Nothobranchius furzeri: one gene and its partners. The protein of the gene in region 2 purifies or fractionates together with the protein of the main gene of each other region. This does not show direct contact. Links are inferred from orthologs where the notes say so. Each region holds a gene or a part of one and is shown on either strand. Other genes may lie near its edges.

The links.
Region 1: the proteins of ube2o (region 2) and recql4 purify together in Homo sapiens (affinity purification with mass spectrometry; 3 studies listed by BioGRID, with this or other methods). This does not show direct contact. The link is inferred for Nothobranchius furzeri from reciprocal best matches to the Homo sapiens genes UBE2O and RECQL4.
Region 3: the proteins of ube2o (region 2) and epb41l5 purify together in Homo sapiens (affinity purification with mass spectrometry; 3 studies listed by BioGRID and IntAct, counting the BioPlex papers as one, with this or other methods). This does not show direct contact. The link is inferred for Nothobranchius furzeri from reciprocal best matches to the Homo sapiens genes UBE2O and EPB41L5.

What each region holds. Positions count from the first base shown.
Region 1 is NC_091759.1:4,683,451-4,687,104, forward strand, and holds part of recql4 (ATP-dependent DNA helicase Q4), read left to right. Parts: coding exon 1-84; intron 85-280; coding exon 281-397; intron 398-3,187; coding exon 3,188-3,343; intron 3,344-3,414; coding exon 3,415-3,507; intron 3,508-3,575; coding exon 3,576-3,654. UniProt on the Homo sapiens protein: An ATP-dependent DNA helicase which unwinds dsDNA with a 3'-overhang in a 3'-5' direction. Does not unwind more than 18 bp of dsDNA. May modulate chromosome segregation. The N-terminal domain (residues 1-54) binds DNA Y-shaped DNA better than ss- or dsDNA.
Region 2 is NC_091747.1:74,395,296-74,398,949, forward strand, and holds part of ube2o ((E3-independent) E2 ubiquitin-conjugating enzyme), read right to left. Parts: coding exon 3,541-3,654; intron 3,472-3,540; coding exon 3,291-3,471; intron 3,189-3,290; coding exon 3,052-3,188; intron 1,994-3,051; coding exon 1,790-1,993; intron 1,717-1,789; coding exon 1,659-1,716; intron 1,030-1,658; coding exon 255-1,029; coding exon of another isoform or gene 251-254; exon of another isoform or gene 112-250; intron 1-111. UniProt on the Homo sapiens protein: E2/E3 hybrid ubiquitin-protein ligase that displays both E2 and E3 ligase activities and mediates monoubiquitination of target proteins. Negatively regulates TRAF6-mediated NF-kappa-B activation independently of its E2 activity.
Region 3 is NC_091754.1:14,719,315-14,722,968, forward strand, and holds part of epb41l5 (band 4.1-like protein 5), read right to left. Parts: intron 2,377-3,654; coding exon 2,256-2,376; intron 2,099-2,255; coding exon 2,011-2,098; intron 1,868-2,010; coding exon 1,779-1,867; intron 1,689-1,778; coding exon 1,619-1,688; intron 953-1,618; coding exon 783-952; intron 528-782; coding exon 421-527; intron 1-420. UniProt on the Homo sapiens protein: Plays a role in the formation and organization of tight junctions during the establishment of polarity in epithelial cells.

The DNA of each region.
Region 1 (3,654 bases), on a different chromosome or scaffold from region 2:
TCAGAGGGGGGCTCAGTCGGCAGGGCGACACCTGCTACAGGTGTGGAGGAACCGGGCACTGGGCCGTCGAGTGCCGGGGACGAGGTGACGCCGCATCAGCAGCACTCCCACAGACTTACCGGTTTTATTTACAGCAAACGGTCTTGGTGCAACACCGACATTACTAGAAAACCAGCTGATTTATGAGATAATTGTTCATGTTGGATGGATAACAGCGTGTGCACAAGATCAGTAACAAGACCTATGTTGTTTGATCTCAGTCCTCTTGTTTTGTTTTTAGCTCCACAACTTCCTGTTTTGGAGGATAAATCCGAAGAAGAAGAAGAAGAATCATTTGAACTACCAACCCTGGAGGAGGTTGCCAGGGCGACGGGAACACTACAACCTCAGCCACTGGGTACGTTTGTTTTCATCCATCCATCCCCTTCTGCTCATCCGGGGTCGGGTCGTGGGGGCAGCAGCCTAAGCAGGGAGGCCTAGACTTCCCTCCCCCCAGCCATTTGGGACAGTTCCTCCGGGAAAATCTCCAGGTGTTCCCTCCCTGACCAGCTGAGAAACGTAGTCCCCCCAGCGTGTCCTGGGTCTTTCATAAGGTCTCCTCCAGGTAGGACATGTCCAGAAAACCTCACCAACGAGGCGTCCTAACCAGATGCCCGAGCCACCTCAACTGGCCCCTCTAGATGTGGAGGAGCAGCGGCTCTACTCTGAGCCCCTCCCGGTTGACTGAGCTTCTCACCGTATCTGTAAGGGAGAACCCAGAACAGCCAAGCTTATTTCGGCCGCTTGTAAAAAAAGAAAGAAAGAAAGCGTTATTTTATATAGTGCCTTTCAAGATAAAACTCACAAGGCGCTTTATAAAAAAAATAAATTTAAATATAAAACTGATTAAAAATATATTTAAAATGACAAAAAATAAAAATTGTGATTAAAATGTAAGGAAAGGGAGAGAGAACATGAATAGGAAAGAGGTCAGTCGGAGGATCCCGGGAAATTGCCGAATGGGTAGAAAGAGCAGAATAAGGAGAAGGTGATGACGAAGGCCAGCCTGAGCAGCTGAGTTTTCAGCTGCTTTTTGTTGGAGACCACAGACCTCAAGCTCGGGGGGAGTCTGGATCCGTGATCTCATTCTTTCGGTTACTCATGACGACAGGTGAGGGTAGGAACGCAGATCGACCGGTAAACCGAGGGCTTTGCCTTCCGGCTCAACTCTCTCTTCACCACGACAGACCGGTACAACGCCCGCATCGCTGCAGACCAGTCCGCCTGTCGATCTCACGCTCCAGCTTTCCCTCACTTGTGAACAAGACCCCGAGATACTTAAACTCCTCCACGTGGGGCCGGACCTCTTTCCTGACCTGGAGAAGGCGTGTCAGGTAGCTGCACACATAAAATTCGGTGGGGCGACGGTGGCACAGGAGTTAAGTCCTCGCCCCGTAATCGGAAGGTTGCAGGTTCGAGCCCCGCTCAGTCTGTCGCTGTTGTTGTGTCCTCGGGCAAGACACTTAACCCACCTTGCCTGCTGGTGGTGGTCGGAGGGACCGGTGGCGCCAGTGCTTGGCAGCCTCGCCTCTGTCAGTGCGCCCCAGAGCAGCTGTGGCTACATCGTAGCTCATCACCACCAGTGTATGAATGAGTGAATGACTGGTTGTGTTGTAAAGCGCCTTGGTAGAGCCCTGCACTGAAGCCCTAGGGGCCGACAACTGTGTAATTACCTCGGACACGGGCCGGGCCGGGCGCCTTTATTTTTAATCAAATTCATTAAAAAAAAACTGAAACACTTGAACGCAGCAGCACCTGCCTGCTTCTCACGCACCGTTAGCTCAGTTAAGGTGTGTGTGGTTCATAAATGCGCCTATACAAACAAATTCTCAAACAGCTGATTGAAACATGTGCCCCTATTCTAAAATGCCATTTTATGTCCACTTTGATGTCAGAAACCGTTTATTCTCATGAAAACGGCAGCGTTCTATTTTTCTGTGAATAAATTCGCTCTGCAGTTAAAAAAAAATACAGCATTCATTGCTGGTTTTTTCTAACTGGGGAGCGCATTTTCAGAGCGGCAGATAAAATTTACAGACGCTTTATTAATTGGGAACGTTTATTATAATCTGCCGCTCAGAAAATGCGCTCTGCAGTTAGAAAATTAGAATGCTGCTTTTTTTTTCTAATTGCACAAGAGCGCATTTTCAGAGCAGATAAAATTTACAAACGCATCCAATTAATATGGTGTTCGTAAATTTCATCTGCCGCTGGAAAAATACGCTCTGTTAGGAAAAAAAGCTGCATTGATGCTGTTTTTCTTTCTTTTCTTTTCTTTTTTCTTCATTTCAGAATACTTCTCACAGATAATTAGAATGCGGAGCATTCTATCACGCTAAAACTTTATGAAAGGTTAAAAAAAAAAGTCGGGCTCGGGTCGGGCCAGATATTCCTGAAAACCTTTTCGGACCGGGTCGGGCTGGGGCTCCACCCCCTCGGGCCGGGCCGGACGCGGGCTCAGATTTTAGGCCCGTGCAGGGCTCTACGCCTCGGGGGGGTTCCAGCACTCTAGAAGGCGCTATACCAAATAAGGTCATTTACCATCAAATTCAAATCGCTAACACTAGCATACAAAGTCCTGGGTGGTACGGCTCCCATCCACCTGAATCCTCCTGCAAAGGCTTACGTCTCAGCCCGGCCGCTCCGGCCATGGAAGGATCGTTGGACAGCAGTGCCTACACCACCCTCAGGACAATCCCGACTCTTTTCATGTATCGTTCCACAGATGTGTGTATTAGAACAGGGGCTTCCTTGTCCACTTTTAAGAATCTCCTGAAGACCCTGCTCTTCACAGAGCATCTTCTAAACTAGCACCCTCCCAGCACCCGTCCCTCACTCTAATGCACACTCCATGTTCGCTCCCCTCTGTGATTGATTACGCTGCCGCCTAGGATTGACTGAATAGTGTTTGATGGCTTCATGATCGCCTGTGAGTCGCTTTGGACAAAAGCGTCTGCCAAATGCGTAAACATGAACGTTCTACCCTTTTCCAGTTCAAGCTTGTAGTTCACAACTCAATCAGGCATCTTTTGGTGTCCAGGTGAGACTCTGCCGGGATTTACAAGCAAACCGAGGATGTGAGGTTGGAGTCAGAGACGTATTATGTAGCTTTTCCGTATTTCTGCTAAATAACAAACAACTATTGCAGCAACGTCCTACAGTGTTGATAAGGAGCAACAGGAAGTGGACACCGGCACTCGGGATGATGTGTTGCTGAATGTGATTCGCCCCGACTACGAGCGGCCTCCTGCTCCGCCCCCCATGGAGCCACTTTATCATCTCACAGCTGACGGAAAAGTTCGGGGTAAACGCTGCATTTAAACCCGTAAAAAAAAACATAAAATATGACCTTTAACCTTTTCTGTTTGCGTTCAGGAGCACCCGATGAGGTGTTTGCTGCTTTAAGAGAGCTTGGCTATCAGTCCTTTAGACCTGGACAAGAGAAGGCCATCATGAGGATCCTGTCAGGTACAGAGTAATCTATTACATCTGCACACATCTGGATATGGCTAAGCTGGTGTGTTCTTCACCTCCAGGCTTCTCCACCCTTGTGCTGTTATCCACTGGAATGGGTAAATCGTTGTGTTACCAGCTGCCGGCGTACCTGTACGCTCA
Region 2 (3,654 bases):
GTCCAGCGCTGATCGAGAGAGGAGTCAGAATGTTACGGAGGAGGGCAGCAGGAGCAGTAAAGGCGGAGACACGGAGGTGGAGGAAAGGTGTGGGCAGTGCTGGGGCACCGTGCAGCTCGGGGCGGGGTCCAGACTGGAACCCCACCCTGACTAGTGCTGATGGGTCCTCCTCTGTGACTTGAGGCGGGTGAAAAAGGTAGAAGAGAAGGAGGACAGGTCAGGGAGCAGTTAGAAGATGGTGAGGAGGCACTTACTTGTCCACCGTGTGCTCTGGGACGCCAGCGGCCGCCAGAGCGGCTTTGTACTGATGCAGCACGCCGCGGACGCTCTTCACAAACCCTTTGGAGAGCGGGAAGAGCGGGAAGCCGATGTCCGGGTACCCGCTGCCCTCCGGGAGGAAACTCCGGTAACTCTTCCTCCTTTTCTTTGGTCGAACCACTGGCTGGCTCCCCGAGGAGCCCGCCCCCCCCACGCTGGCGGACACGGAACCAGAATCTGACGTCCCAGTGCGGACCACAGAGCCAGCTTTGACCTCACCCCCCAGGGTGAGGTCACCGTCTGAGTTCTGGCTCAGCTCCTCCTGAGGAGCTGTAGTGGTGGACGGACTCAGCCCCGAATCCTCCAGCTCCTCCTCTAGAATACTGCTAACTCCCATCACCGCCTCATCACTGGGCTTACTGGGACTGCTGTGGGCCACAGCCACCAGTCCAGAGCCCGCAGGCTGCTGCTCGTCTTTCAAGTGGTGGCTCCTGGAAGAGGAGTAGGCCGAGTGGCCTCGCTCAGCGGCGTCGTGCAGCTCCAGCCACGCCTCCAGACGGTGCACGAGTCGCCAGCCGCTGGACACAAAGTGCTCCCGGATCTCCTGCTTGAAGACCTCCGCAGGATGCTGGAGGAGCTGCGTCATGGACTGGACCATCTTGATGAGAGCCATCTCGTTGTAGCAGCGACTGTTCTCATAGCCCTCCTGCAGACCCCGGTCGCTGTCGAAGCCGGCTTCGTTGTAGTACGGCTCGTTGACCAGGATCAGACCTGCAGAGGAACCGCCAGAACCACGGGCTCAGAAAAAACCCTAAAACACCTGGAGAACCAGGAAGTGCTGTGTGTGTGTGTGTGTGTGTGTGTGTGTGTGTGTGTGTGTGTGTGTGTGTGTGTGTGTGTGAGAGAGTGTGTGAGAGTGTGTGTGTGTGTGTGAGATAGAGAGAGAGAGAGAGTGAGAGAGTGTGTGAGCGTGAGAGAGAGTGTGTGTGTGAGAGTGAGTGAGTGAGTGAGTGTGACAGTGAAAGAGAGAGTGTGTGTGAGTGGGTGTATGTGTGTGAGAGAAAGAGAGAGAAAGAGAGAGAGAAAGAGAGAGAGAAAGAGAGGAAAAGAGAGAGAGAAAGAGAGAGAGAGAGAAAGAGAAAAGAGAGAGAGAGAAAGAAAGAGAGAGAGAGAGAAAGAAAGAGAGAAAAAGAGAGAGAGAAAGAGAGAAAAAGAGAGAGAGAGAAAGAGAGAGAGAGAGAAAGAGAAAAGAGAGAGAGAGAAAGAAAGAGAGAGAGAGAGAAAGAAAGAGAGAGAGAAAGAGAGAAAAAGAGAGAGAGAGAGAGAGAAAGAGAGAGAAAGAGAAAAGAGAGAAAGAGAGAGAGTGTGTGTGTGCGTGTGTGTGTGTGTGTGTGTCTAACCTTGTATGGAGATGAGGACTTGCAGCAGGCTGGACTTGCTGGTCCACCTCTCAGTCCCCTGTGGACGACAGAACCAGGGAGTTGAACTGGGTTGGGTCCAGTACTGGCTGGGACGGCCCAACAGCACTCACCTTTCCGATCCAGGTTCCCAGCAGGCTGACGCAGACTTTGCCGTTGTCGTACAGGTTGGGATTGAGGCGGCCGCTGCACTGGGACAGGTAGCGGAACAGCGGCGGCACGGCCGGGTAGATGTTGGGCAGCTGGATGTCGAAGAGGAAGAGTCCGTCCTCGTACGGGGTTCTGGTTGGTCCTTTGATCAGAGCTGAAAACAGGTCCTGTGTCACAGGAAGAGCAGAACTCACCCACTTGTTCTTTAGGGGTCAAAAGATGCCGGTGCTGGTGGATCACTGGTTACCCGAGTAGAATCACAAGTGTTTTCTCACACTCTTAACGCCGAGCGGAAGCAGAGCCGGTGCTGATCCAGAAACTATATTTGTGTCATCCTCCAGCTCTACATCTGTAGCTACGGCTGCACCGTCAGGCTGCTTCCTAATCTGGTCTATGAATGTGGTCCAGATGAACAGAAGGTTCTGCTGCATCCTGGTTCCGCCCAAACAACCTAACTGTGGCCAACTACTTTGTTGGTTTGATGAGTCTGAAGAAACAAGTGTGTTGTCATGGCAACACTTCTAAAGCAAACCAAAACAGATCTTTGGTGATTGGACAAAAAAACATCTACGTCATCAGGTGTGTGCATGCGTGTGCGTGTGTGTGTGTGTGTGTGTGCGAATGTGCGTGCGCGCGTGCGTGTGTGTGTGTGAATGTGCGTGCGTGCGTGTGTGTGTGCGTGTGTGCGTGCGTGCGTGTGCATGCGTGCACATGTGTGTGTGTGCATGCGTGCGTGCATGCGTGCGTGCGTGCGTGTGCATGTGTGTGCGTGTGTGTGCGTGCGTGCGGGTGTGTGAATGTGTGTGTGTGTGTGTGTGTGAGCGTGCGTGTGTGTGCGTGCGTGTGTGTGTGCGTGCGTGCGTGTGAGTGTGCGTGCGTGTGTGTGTGCGTGCGTGCGTGCGTGCGTGTGTGAATGTGCATGCGTGTGTGTGCGTGTGAATGTGTGTGTGTGTGCGTGTGTGTGCGAATGTGTGTGTGTGCGTGTGTGAATGTGCGTGCGTGCGTGTGCGTGAGTGAATGTGCGTGCGTGCGTGTGCGTGTGAATGTGTGTGTGTGTGCGTGTGTGTGTGAATGTGTGTGTGTGTGCGTGTGTGTGCGAATGTGTGTGTGTGTGCGTGAGTGAATGTGCGTGCGTGCGTGTGCGTGAGTGAATGTGCGTGCGTGCGTGTGCGTGAGTGAATGTGCGTGCGTGCGTGCGTGTCAGTACGGATCAGATAAAACCCACCATGCGGTCCTCGAAGGTCTTGACCATGATGCCGTCGGGCAGCGACGTTGCCAGCAGAGCCATCTCCTTCCTCACTGTGCTGAAAAACTTCTTGGCCTCTGCCGGCTGAAACTCCATTTTCTTAAAGGAGTGAGTGTCTGTTGGTGAGGAAACGGATGAAAGTGAACTTTACACAGCTGAGCTCTTGTTGATCTGTAGATTAACGGTTTCACACCCGTGTGAGGAACCCGTGACCTCACCTGGAGCCCACTCCAGCACCGAGAACACCTCCCCTTTGGCGCTGGTGAAGGTCACTCCAGGTTTCCCTCCACTCTGTTGGCACAGCACCGGCGTTTCGCTCAGGAACTCACTGGGCCACTCCTGGTTCCCCACCGGCGTCTGTGGCTCCTGCTGGGGTTTCTCCTCCGTGCTCCTCTCTGCCTGAGGAGACGCGGCGGGTCAAACCTCCTCTACTGACGAGGCGGATCATCACAGCAGCGGGACACCTACCTCTGTTCCTGCTCCGCCGCTCCCAGCAGACTCCACAACAGCTTCCATCTTCTCTTCCTCCACAATGGCCACGTTGTCCAGAGTCTTCCTCAGGTTCTCCTGCAGTTTCTTGAG
Region 3 (3,654 bases), on a different chromosome or scaffold from region 2:
TTCCCCATGGCGCAATCTCCCACTAGCTTAACCAGCTAATGTGCTCATCTAAAAATAGCCCCCATTCACAACCAACTAAATGTGTACGGTTCCGCTTACGCAACATCATACACAAAAAATGCTGAACACTAACTAGAAATTCATGAAAATTTTATAGTAATAAAAGAATCTTGTTTATCGGGTCTTTGGTAATTTAAGACCTTTGGAAACTGTATTTAATGGTTATTTGTCATTTTTAAGGATTTTTAAGTCCTTAAATATGGAAAATGAAATTTAAGACGTTTTAAGGACCCGCGGATACCCTGCATTAACATTAAAAGAGGTGGAGATTTATCATCCATCTTTATACTTTTGATGGTTCTGATTATATCAGACTTTCTCCTCTGAGATGAAGAGTGTGACTAAGATGTGTATCATCACCCCGGTTCTGTAAGGTTCTTCTCGAGTAGCGTCGACTGGGTCTCCTCTCAAATGAGGCCGAGCGCCTCGCTTTACTGGCCTTGGTCGTCTGATACTCCGTCTTTCCACTGATCACAAAAACAAAACACAAGTTATTTTATCAAAAATCAGCAGCTACTTCCAGATTGATGACCTCCGCGGAACTTTGGACCCGTCCGCGCTTCTATTGACAACAAAACCCAGCAACCCCTGTGTTGAATCAACGTTACCGCTCGTGCTTATCCAGCTGGATATTGTTTAAACACACAGAGTGGCACAAGCTGGCTACTGAGGAACTATGTGTAGTATCTGACATGCTGCATTATCAAAGTCATTTGAGGTACCTGTATCTGAAGCGTGACCCCATGCGTATGAATCCAGACCGTGCAGAGTTCTTCTGAACCGGTCCTCTCAACCTAAAGAAGGTGTGGTGTTCTACTGCACACTTCCAGAGATGCTTGCAGGCTTTGGGGTGGTCCATCCTGAAGACGAAGGTGTGCTCCTGCTCTTTGCCCTGGGGAAGATGGATGTGGGTATAGAGCAGCATTTTATTCCCAAAGCACGACCATAAACTGAAAGGAATAACTTACGTATGCAAAACTCGTTTCCTCTTAGAGAGGAATTATTAGTAAAGAATGAAGAACAGATGCTGCTTCACTAACTAGCTTAGTACTCGTAGCCTGGTTAGAAGCCTGCCAAGCAGCACAGCTAGTTGCACAATTTGTGTTGGAGCCAATCCGGCGTCAGAGTCATCTGGTGGCTTGTTAAACGTTTGTAATTCAGAAAAACAACAAACAATTTGCGGGGAGATAAAATTGTATTTTCAGTTAAACTGTTACTTTTTATAACCTGGATAGCCTTCAAACATGTGTTTAAAAAAACTGCTAAAACTGCTTTGAAAAAAAATTTTTTTTAAATGAACACACACTGAAAGGATTACTGTTGAACAAAGCAGACGAGGTGGAGTTTGTTGAGTTTTATTGATGTCATTTTTGATCCATTAAGTAATAAATGTTCCACAAATTCAAAATGAAATGGGGAAAGAATTAACCATTTCTTACTGAAACAGCCAGTGAATGGTGTTCGTTTATTCTGGGAGACTCGACTTATCGTCATCCAAAGTAAATAACACAAGGGTAACCATTTGTTGCATGTTTGCTGAGTGTGAGCTGGTGCTCACCTGATCGTCATCTTCCACCACCACAAGGGTCAGTTTGCTCTTCTTGAAATCCAGACGGGTTATCTTGGGCCTTCGGAATAAATGAGAAACATTTTAAGTCATTTAGAGACATTAAAATTATTTATTTGAATGTGTTTATTATATTGTAGCCAAAACACACCAGAAAAATAGCCCGATCTTTGTTTGGCCTTCAAACACCAGAACTCCAGTGGGCGTCAAACCCAGACTGTACTCATTACCATCTCTGGCCTGAAATATACACAAAACAAGAATATGGATATTCCACTAAACTACTCGGATAAATCTACTTGACGACTCTTAAAATAGATACAAATGAGTCATTCTTCAAATCTCTAATTCTGAATAATGCAAATAAGAAGGGTGTTGTTTACCTTCACCATGTGCATGTCTACTCCGTACATTTCTAGCCACTTGGCTTTATTCAGGTAGTTAATCTCAGCTTGTGCGGGCATCTGGCCTCTGAGAAAAAAATAATAATTAAAAAAAAAAACAGGTAAAACACAAAAAAGAATTCAACCAACTGGAGGCATAAAAACGTAATGATACAACCATTAGACAAGAATATTAAGACTATAGAATAAAGTTTAAGGTTTTACTAATTGAGTGAAATGTTAACCTGCAATCCTTCCACGCATTATAAATGGCGAGCTCCATCTCCTCCGTCTGCTCTGGGATGAAACGAAATTCTGACACCAGGTCTAGGTTATGTTCTAGTGGGTCACAGTCACCTAGTTCAGCTGGAATAAAGCAAGAATAGAGTCAGCGTTTTAAAACCTTACATTTTATTTCATACGTAAGTTTAATTTGACATATTCTGGGTTTGTAGGACTTGTTTTAGTAAATAATGACCAATAACTAATGCATAAAATAAAATGTAAATAATAATATTCTAAATAAAAAATGTTGTAAAACAACTATAATTAAAGTTGTTTCTCTGAGTAATAATAACAGGACAAAGTTAAAAGAAGAAATTATTACAGGTCCACCCAAGTGGACAGCAGGATTTAGGAGGTTAATAATTCAAACACAAAAACTAAAATAATCAGTAACTATCATTTTAGTCAGTTTATTTTCAGCCAGTAGAAAATTGAAGAAAAGTTAATCAAATCCCTAAGCAACAAGAGTGAAATAGCTATTAAAAGATTTCACTTAAAATCTTGGCATTTGCATTTAAAATTCAACATGGCGGACTAAAGAGTCAGATTAAAACATGTCTTTGAAAGCTTATGGCCCCGAATGTAACTCTGGAGGGAAAAAATGGGAGAATGGAGGCAGAAAACAGAGAGGGTGTTGGATTAGGGGGCCTCTGAAGAGGACTGAACACTAATGAGCTGGCACTTACCCCTCATTGTGTGTGTGCATGTGTGTGTGTGTGTGTGTGTGTGTGTGTGTGTGTGTGTGTGTGTGTGTGTGTGTGTGTGTGTGTGTGTGTGTGTGTCCAAGAGTCTGTGCACGCAATCTCATTCCACAAATGTCTCCAGTGACTCAGACTCTTACAAGTGCTTCTGAAATGACTAAAATGACTCCAGCAGCTACCTTTTAGAAGAAAATTAACCATGTTGCACATTCTGGCTCTTTACGGGCTCCACTTTTACTCCATGTTTTGATCTAAAGTCCCTTTTTGCAGCAAAGTCAGTTTTACTGTAATTTTCTACCATGATCTTGTCTCAAAGTTTGATCTTGCAGGAAGAGTTTTTGTGCCTCAGGGACCACAGAGGCAATGATAACAGACTCTGGTCATAAAGAGCGATGTTCAAAAGAGTTAGTCAGTTCTCTCTGGTTCAAGAGAAGCAAGCAGAAACAAACTATCTGTACGTGGTAATTGTTATTTAGACCTTTCTTTGAATATTTTAATTATGGATGTCAGATATTATCGGCCTATATTAGCACCAAAATGTAATACTGGAAATGATCAGTATCGGTTTTCACTTTGTTAATGTCACAATATTTATTTGGTGATTCTGGGGAGTGTATTTTGTTAAGAAAGATTGACCTGGCTGTATTATCAGTACTAG